2 linked regions of the Saccharomyces cerevisiae S288C genome follow. Changing the gene in region 1 together with any one later gene gives a genetic interaction. Each region holds a gene or a part of one and is shown on either strand. Other genes may lie near its edges.

The links.
Region 2: mutations in ECM25 (region 1) and ZRG17 together harm fitness more than expected from each alone (negative genetic interaction), as found in Saccharomyces cerevisiae (2 studies listed by BioGRID).

Annotation. Positions count from the first base shown.
Region 1 is NC_001142.9:52,439-56,884, forward strand, and holds ECM25 (Ecm25p), read left to right. Parts: upstream 1-1,940; coding exon 1,941-3,740; downstream 3,741-4,446. Other genes in the region: RCY1 (Rcy1p), read right to left, coding at 1-713; PRP21 (Prp21p), read left to right, coding at 903-1,745; aconitate hydratase ACO2, read right to left, coding at 4,006-4,446. UniProt on the Saccharomyces cerevisiae protein: May be involved in cell wall organization and biogenesis.
Region 2 is NC_001146.8:696,785-700,941, reverse strand, and holds ZRG17 (Zn(2+) transporter ZRG17), read left to right. Parts: upstream 1-1,510; coding exon 1,511-3,328; downstream 3,329-4,157. Other genes in the region: COQ2 (4-hydroxybenzoate octaprenyltransferase), read left to right, coding at 1-401; MRX15 (Mrx15p), read right to left, coding at 482-1,252; putative ATP-dependent RNA helicase DBP6, read right to left, coding at 3,458-4,157.

The sequences.
Region 1 (4,446 bases):
CTCCCACCGCTGTCCTCTTCCCTTGGTTGTTCGGCCCAAAATAATTCATCATTAGACGGCAAAACCGTTAAACTGGGAGGCAAATCAGCCTTTGACTTGAAAAATTCGATAGCATTGCTTTCCTCATTAGATATCAATAAAATTTTCATGAAACGAGCGACGGCAGCTAAATTATTAGACTGGTAATTCAATTCTGACTCTTTGAGAACAGAATTAATGAAGATTTCCCTAAGAATGTTGAAATTAGTTTCAATCCTAGTAAATGTTTCTATATCATTTTTATTCGAGAAATTGTACTTTTTGATAAAATTTAGAATTCTTGTTTGTTTCAACGGATCGTTGGAATATGAAGTAGGAAAGAAATTTGCTAGATTATTATTATATAGCTTCCTAGCGTATGAGTTATAACAACGGTAAAATTTCACAAAGATTTTTTTAGAATTTTGAGCAGTGAAAGATTTGTATATTTCGAAGATGCGAAGGGAATTTTGATTATCATTTTCATCCAGCAACGTAATTTCTTCTTCTTCATTTGAATGCACCTGTTGGAGACCCATTCTAGTCAATTTCAATGACCAATACTTTGAATCATTTTTGCCGTTAATGATTGCATAAACCCGTTTATTCACTTGTTGAAAACTCAGATAATCTACAGTAGATAAATATGAGGCAATATTGGTTACAATCTCGGGAACTTTTAGCAGATCATCCATTTTACCGATTTCCTCAAAAGCTTTTGTTTTCTTTTGGTTTTTCTATTGTTTGTCTGTTGACCATTTTTTGATAAAATAAGAACCTTCCTTCAACGAAATATTTCGGCAAAAGTTAGCCTTGAAACACTTAAATACAGGAAGAAATAAGGTAAAGCGTAAAACTAACAGCAATAATTTGCAGTTGTATAAATGGAACCAGAAGATACCCAGCTGAAAGAGGACATTAAAACCACAGTAAATTACATAAAGCAGCATGGTGTTGAGTTTGAGAACAAACTGCTAGAAGATGAGAGATTCTCATTCATCAAGAAAGATGACCCACTCCATGAATACTACACCAAACTCATGAATGAGCCAACAGACACTGTCAGCGGTGAAGATAATGACAGAAAGAGTGAGCGAGAGATAGCAAGGCCGCCGGATTTTCTGTTCTCTCAATATGATACTGGAATATCCCGAAGAGACATGGAAGTAATCAAATTGACAGCACGCTACTATGCAAAGGATAAAAGTATTGTTGAACAGATGATTTCAAAGGATGGTGAAGCCAGATTAAACTTTATGAACAGCTCACATCCGCTACATAAGACATTCACTGATTTTGTCGCCCAGTACAAGCGAGTATATTCTTTTACTGGTCAAGAAATCAAGAAAAGTAAGAGAACCATTTTAGATAATTGTTTTGAGAGAACACAGTATTGGGAATTTGAGAAAGATAAAGACCGGGAACATGATAAGCTCGTAGAGTTGTGCAAAATACAATTTGCAGCCATTCCATGGGATAAATTTACTCAAGTGGCAAAATTTTCTATCCCTGAAGACACAGAAATCTTCGAAGGCTCTCTAGATTTAGAACAGATGAGGCTGCGAAGAGTACAAACTGGTATTAAGTTATTCGATAGTATCAAGCCGACAAATGAAGAAGAAAAGATAGTATCCGACCAAGGTAAGCAAAAAGGAGGAGATAGTAAGGGCAAAAAGCGTAAAATTAGAGCTGTGGGAGAGACAAGGTTAAAGAAAAGTAAAAAATAAGCCTCATGAAAATCAAAGTTAGCTAGAAGTATGTAAAGGTTGATGATGCACCGTAATTGAGCACATGTATCACTATTAACGGCGTACGTATTTTGGCGTTTTTTCATGTTGATGTTATTTTGTATATAGAAAGTGAAATTCTCGAGGATATGGCCCTACTGGATAATACTATTGGTAGCGTGAAAGAAGGCCAGGATGATAGATATCAACGTTAATAACATATTTTTTAGATCTTATTCAGTTGATCCTAACTCTGGTCACGCAATTTATGTCTTTGATTCGACTTATTTGCCAGCATCTGATGAAATTGGCGATAAGCAAGTTTATGACTTGCTTATTAATGCCCTCATGGATCGATTGGTAATGAAATTGCCACAGGCACCATATTCACTGGTGATTTTTTCATCTGGGTTTTCCCAGAGAAAAATAAGCTGGGTTTACGGTATTAAAATGTTTGCAAAGTTACCCAAAGAGACCAAGTTCTATTTACAAAAGATTTTTATTGTTCATGAGTCATTCTTCGTTAGGTCGGTCTATCAAGTAATTTCAAACGCTATGAACTTTAACTTCTTGGACTCAAAAGATAGTCAGCATGATTTTCCAAGTTTAGTTCATGTCTTGGACCTGACTTCTTTATCCGAGCTAATAGATATTACGCGACTTAGAATATCGTTGAACGTGTACTTATATGATTACCAGATACGCGAACATATAAATGTCCCGGAGGAATATTATAACAGATTGACCCCTCTGGCAATAAGACAGTATAGGCAGTTAGTATTCGATAAAATTTTCAAGAAATTACAGAATGACGCTCTGTTGTGTGAATTGATATTCCAGAAGCCGGGAAACTATAAAAAGGTAAACATTTTTTTGGATATTATCAAAAGAAACAACTACATTGATTTATCTCAATGGGATATTTATTCTTTGGCATCCGTGTGGTTGAATTACTTCATTAAGAATAAAGCCAAACCTCTAATCCCAATTGAATTAATTCCGTTACCAATTGTTGATGATCTAAAGTTCACAAGTGAAACATTCCGCAAAATTATTAAATTCAACCAATACCAGGACCTCTTTATGGTCATAATTCCTTTTTTTAATAGGATCATAGCGCATGGTGAATCGACTAAACATGATTCAAGGACCCTAAGTAAAGCTTTAACTCCGGCGTTATGTAAGGAAAAACTTTCCATGATGACTAATGATCGTTTAGCTATTGGGTCGAGATATATTAAAAATTTACTGGACTTTTTCCCCGAAATCGCGAAGGAAATATCATCACCTCCTTCATCCGTATCATCGTCTTCTACTATCCCTGTTTTGCCTAAGCCAAGGAAGTCGTCGCCAACCAGATACAGTGAACTAGGCTGCTTAACCCTTCCTAGAAGTCGAAGCCCTAGTCCACAAAGATCTGTTACGTCTCCAACGTACACACCTGTCGCATTACAAAATACACCAGTCTTGAAACCTAAGTCTTCAAGCAGAAATGTTTCATCCCCATCATTCAATGCCAAACCTCCACTTCCTATTAAGGCAGTTACACGACCACAACTGTCTCTAACTTCCAATTCTAATACAGATTTGGCATTAGCTTCTTCTTCTACAGATACATTATCCTCACCGACGAAGACTCCATCAGCAGACTCGCTTCCATTGAGTAACAGCAGCACCGATTTAACGATATCAGATAATATCAAAGAAATGGTTAAGGACGAGCCAGCAAAGGATAAAAATTCTGTGGAAACAGATATATTCGTACAACAGTTTGAAAGTTTAACCCTCGTCCAAAACGCGAAGATTAAGAAGTTCGACAAAGAACTACAAGAAAAGAAGAAGAAAAATGAAACTACTTCAAAGACAGCAGATAAATTCTCTCAAAAGGGATATTCAGATATTAAAGCAAGCAACAAGGTTAGCAGGCTAGCTGCATTGTACGAAGAACGTTTACAAGGTTTACAAGTAATGAATGAAATGAAACAAAGGTGGTAACTTACATAATTGTATCTTTTTAACACATACATATTGCATATACGACAACAAAATACCCCCCACCCTTGAGTTAAGCCGTAGTTGAAGCAGTCGAGATCTCGTGTATAATATTATATATCAAACAATATTACGTTTTTTATAGTAAATAAATAAATAAATAGGTAGGTTATTTGCACCGTCTATATGCAGAGTCTATAGAATTGTGTAAACTAGCTTATGACTATTAAATCGGACTCTTAATTTTTAGCTAATATCTCTTCAGAATTTATTCGTTTCTTCGTATATTACCAATATAATTGATTGCTGAACCAGCTTTGAAAAAATCGATTTGATCTTTAGACATAGTATGTTTTGCCTTGATGGTGAACGATTCACCGTTTGGTTTAGTAATTTTAACATCAATTTCACCACCGTTATTACCATCCTTAGCAATCATGTCAACTAGGTTCAACGTTTCTAAAACATCTCCGCTTGATATTTTATCATAGTCAGATTCGTTGGCAAAAGTCAATGGCAACACACCTTGTTTCTTCAAGTTTGTCTCATGAATTCTTGCAAAAGACTTAACTAAAAGAATCTCTCCGCCTAAAAATCTTGGTGACAAAGCAGCATGCTCTCTTGCGGAACCTTCACCATAGTTATGTTCCGCTATCACGGTCCATGGTCTACCGTCTGATTTCCATTTCATCATCAAACCAGGAATATC
Region 2 (4,157 bases), on another chromosome or scaffold:
GCTGGCCTACAATGATACCTTTGTACCTGAGCAGTTACTTGTGGTGTATGACTTACGATACTATATACGCACACCAGGATAAAAAGTTTGACATCAAGGCTGGAATCAAGTCTACCGCTTTGGCTTGGGGTCCACGCACAAAGTCTATCATGAAGGCCATGTCCGCGTCTCAAATCGCACTGTTAGCTGTCGCCGGCTTGAACAGTGGGTTGTTATGGGGGCCTGGGTTCATTGGTGGACTAGGAGTCTTCGCTTATAGACTCTTCAGCATGATAAAGAAAGTGGATCTTGACAATCCTAAAAACTGCTGGAAGTATTTTAATGCAAATATCAACACCGGACTTTACTTTACGTACGCCTTGGCAGTCGACTACATCTTGAGACTGTTTGGATTCTTGTAGATATAGCGTGCATATACAAGTGTTTAATTGTTCTTTTATTCGATTATTATTTACATGCATTCTTACGTAGATGTCCGTACCTATTTGGGCTTCACGATATTCTTGATGGATGATCTAGAATTCCCCGAGTGAAATAGGGTCTTGGCAGACGTATGTGAAAGGATCTGAGTTAATATTGACCTGTTCAATAGCTTATTTTCTGCCACACTGTTGAAAAAGCAGTCCAAGATCCTGGCGTCATTCTTCACAACGCTACCAGATCTCGAGAAAATGTAAAATTTATTGAAAAATGAGGGTGCTTTTTCATCCACTGTGAAGAAAACAAAGGTGGCCTTATCCTCCATACCTTGAGAACCTACTCCTGTGAAGATCTTGGTGGCCTTATTTTTAGACAGTTCATTGATCTCCCTCGTGATAGAAACTGGTCTTCCTAACAAGTAAGTGCGTCGAGTCAATTGACACCGTGGCACCGTACTATTCTTGAGCGGTGGCAGATATTTCATTTCTGTGACTAGTCTTGACGTTACGTGTTTCGTGGCAGCAGCGAGGATCACAGGCAAAACCCCTAAAGCCACAGGCCCAAAAGTTTTGCACTTGAACCACGGGCTGTGTTTTTCTTCCTCAGTAGCGTTTCCGTACACTTCTCGAGCAGTTCTCCACGACATATCAGTGTATGCAGCGCCATATGTGAGAAACACTACAGCTAGAGCAGTTGAAGCCCATCGTATCGACCGTGGTACCTTATACTGGAACACAGGCTTTTTTCCTCCGTTACGTCCGACTTCTTCGATTAGCTGCGCTAGTGTGAAGCTGCTTCCTTTGAACTGATTCTTGGCAGCCATGTTTGTCATACCCTAGTCCACATAAGATAACTAAATGCACCTTCTTATGTTATAATGTAGCTAAAATGAGAGATGATGATCTTTATTGTTCTCGAATTTCAGCGCGGGTAACGCAACCTCAAAAAGTTTTCCACAAGTGTCCTATTGCGTAATATCAAGAATATTCATTACTGAAAATGATGAACCTTGAAGGTATTTTTGTTACTAAGAGAGAAAAAGTGAATATTTAGTGACTTGTGAGCGAGATTATAGAATAGGGAAAGAGCTATGGAGACGCCGCAAATGAACGCTATACAAGAGGAGGACAATTTGTCTCCGGAAGTTGCTTTCCAGACTCCTAAATTGAATGATTCCGATGCTTCATCGTTTTCTTTGTCCAATATGAACGCTGTCGGGAATGTAGACGGTATACCATCCCAAAACAGGACATTTTTTGCATCACCTAGGCCCAGTTCCCTATTTTATTCTGCCAAGGAAGGTAACAATTCCAGTTCTAGTATCATCTACAATCCTTCGTTCACTTTTGGTGAAAACGCTTCTAGTAATGCTAATATCAATGAAGCTGCTTTGATGAAGGGAAAAGGCAACGAAGGACGAAGGCAATCACTCAAATATATACCAGCACCAAAGCTGGTGCCGCCTCCTCCCAGAACAAGATCACCGGTAAGAGGCATTTCCCCCGATGCTGGCAGCAGTAAGAGGTCTTCTATGACCTTGGATTCTCCCTTTAATTTTACGACATCAACGCTGCAACCGCATCAACAGACACCACCCTCTTCAGCTGCATCAAGGACCTCATTTCGTAAGGGGCATCGTTATAAGCATTCCTCTGTATCCATGAATTTTTTTCAAGAGCCTGAGGTGAAAATTCCTTTGAACATTGCCAAATCTCTTCCCATTCCAGATTTCAATGATTTGCTGTCAAATTTGCCATGGCCAAAGGCTTATATTCAGTTATCTATTGCCGCTCTACAAATCTTTGCATGTCTGATTACTTTCCAAGTCGGACACCTGTACTCATGGAGTAATTTTATTACACTATCGCATTTTATTACTTACGATATCATCGGTTCGCTGGTAATCATATTTGTGGAAAATTTGTCTCAGTTCCAGGTATGGTTTACAGGCACTATCACATTTCCATTCGGGTTAAATAGAATAGACGTTCTACTAAGTTTTGCGCTTGCCGTTTCGTTATGCTTTGTTGGGCTGGACCTTTTATTCCATATAATTGAAGAATTCATAGTCCTCTTTGTAGAATCTGGTAGTTCTTTGACGAATAACCATGATCACGATGAAATTAATGAGCAAATTCCTCATTCCCACATTGCCAATGCCAATGATTCACAAAACGAGAATATTACCTTATGGTATAGCATACTAATGATCAATTTAGTGTTATCGACGTTATCACTTTATAAGACGTTTTATGCTAACAAATACAGTAATTTAAAGACGAAGAACCCGATTATTACCATCACTTATACAGCATACCTATTCATTTATCCCCTACTATTGGATCTGTTATCGAGTATATCCGATTACCTTGCTACTTTGGTTATTTCGAGTTTAATTCTATGGCATGGGCTGACTATAGCACGGTGGACCTCGACAGTGTTACTAATGGGATTTTCCACCACATCTTTATCCAATTCAGCGTTATTCAATAATAATGACAGCACTGATACGACCGCCCATACTCAACAAGTCGAGTCTAAAGCTGCTAAAGAAAAACCATCTGTACGACCAAGATCAATGAGCTCACTACCTATAGCAACAAAGAATACAAAGATACGGAAAACTGGGTTTTTGAATTCTGCAGGTTTCACTGAAAATCCAACAACCATTAAGAACATGATCAAGGACCAAATCGAGAGATTAAGTGAGTTTAAATCCAGATACATCCTAAATTACGATGATATAGTAATAAGCAAAGTGAATTTTACGCTTTATGTGGTACTGATCAAGATAACAATGAAAGGAGGCTCCGACGATGACGAATTGATGTTAAGGTTAGCCATTGACAAGTGCATTCAAACGAGCATTCCAACGTGTGAAACTACAATAGACATAGACCGAATATAATTTTACAGTTACATACCCATCAATACATACATATTAATATTACTATACTCAGGAGTTATTAGAATGAGACTAAAAAAAAAAATGTTTGAATGTTATAAATGAATGGATGCGAAGGTGGAAAGTGAGAAATTAAGCTTGTGCGGTGTTATTGTGATAGTTTTTCAAACTTTCTAGAGACGAAGTATATAGTTCAGAATCAGATTCCAATAGGGTAAAATCGAGTTCTAATGGCTGGACAGATTTACCGTCTCTATCTAGATCTTTGTTTAAGTCATCGAAAAACGTTCTTTCACCTCTACCTACTAGTAAGTTATAAGCGGAACCAAGTTCGTTAGCTCTTGCTGTTCTACCAACACGATGGACATATTGTTGAGAAGACATTGGTGGGTCATAGTTTATTACTTGAGTGATATCGTTAATATCAATACCACGGGACATGATATCGGTAGTAATTAAGATGGTAATGCCTGCGCTTTCCGAGTGATGCGAGAAGTTCGCAACAATTTTTTTATTTTCTGCTTTGGAGTTGTTTGAATTGACAGAATTAATACTCACCGCCAAATTTTGAAGGTTTTTCAATACGCTGGATTGTGAGCGAGATTCACAGATAAGTTGTAGTAACTTGCTTAATCTGATAGACGATTCATTTGATTTAACGAAAATCAAAATCTTTGCAGCAATGGGGGAATGTGCCATAAATTGGCATATTGAATACAACAATATCAATGGCTTGTAAACACTTTTCGCCGTGGGAATGTTGATGTTAAATTCATTCAATTTGTTAGGTAGCTGGTACAATTTATCGGTTTGCTTCAGGAACAACTTTGGT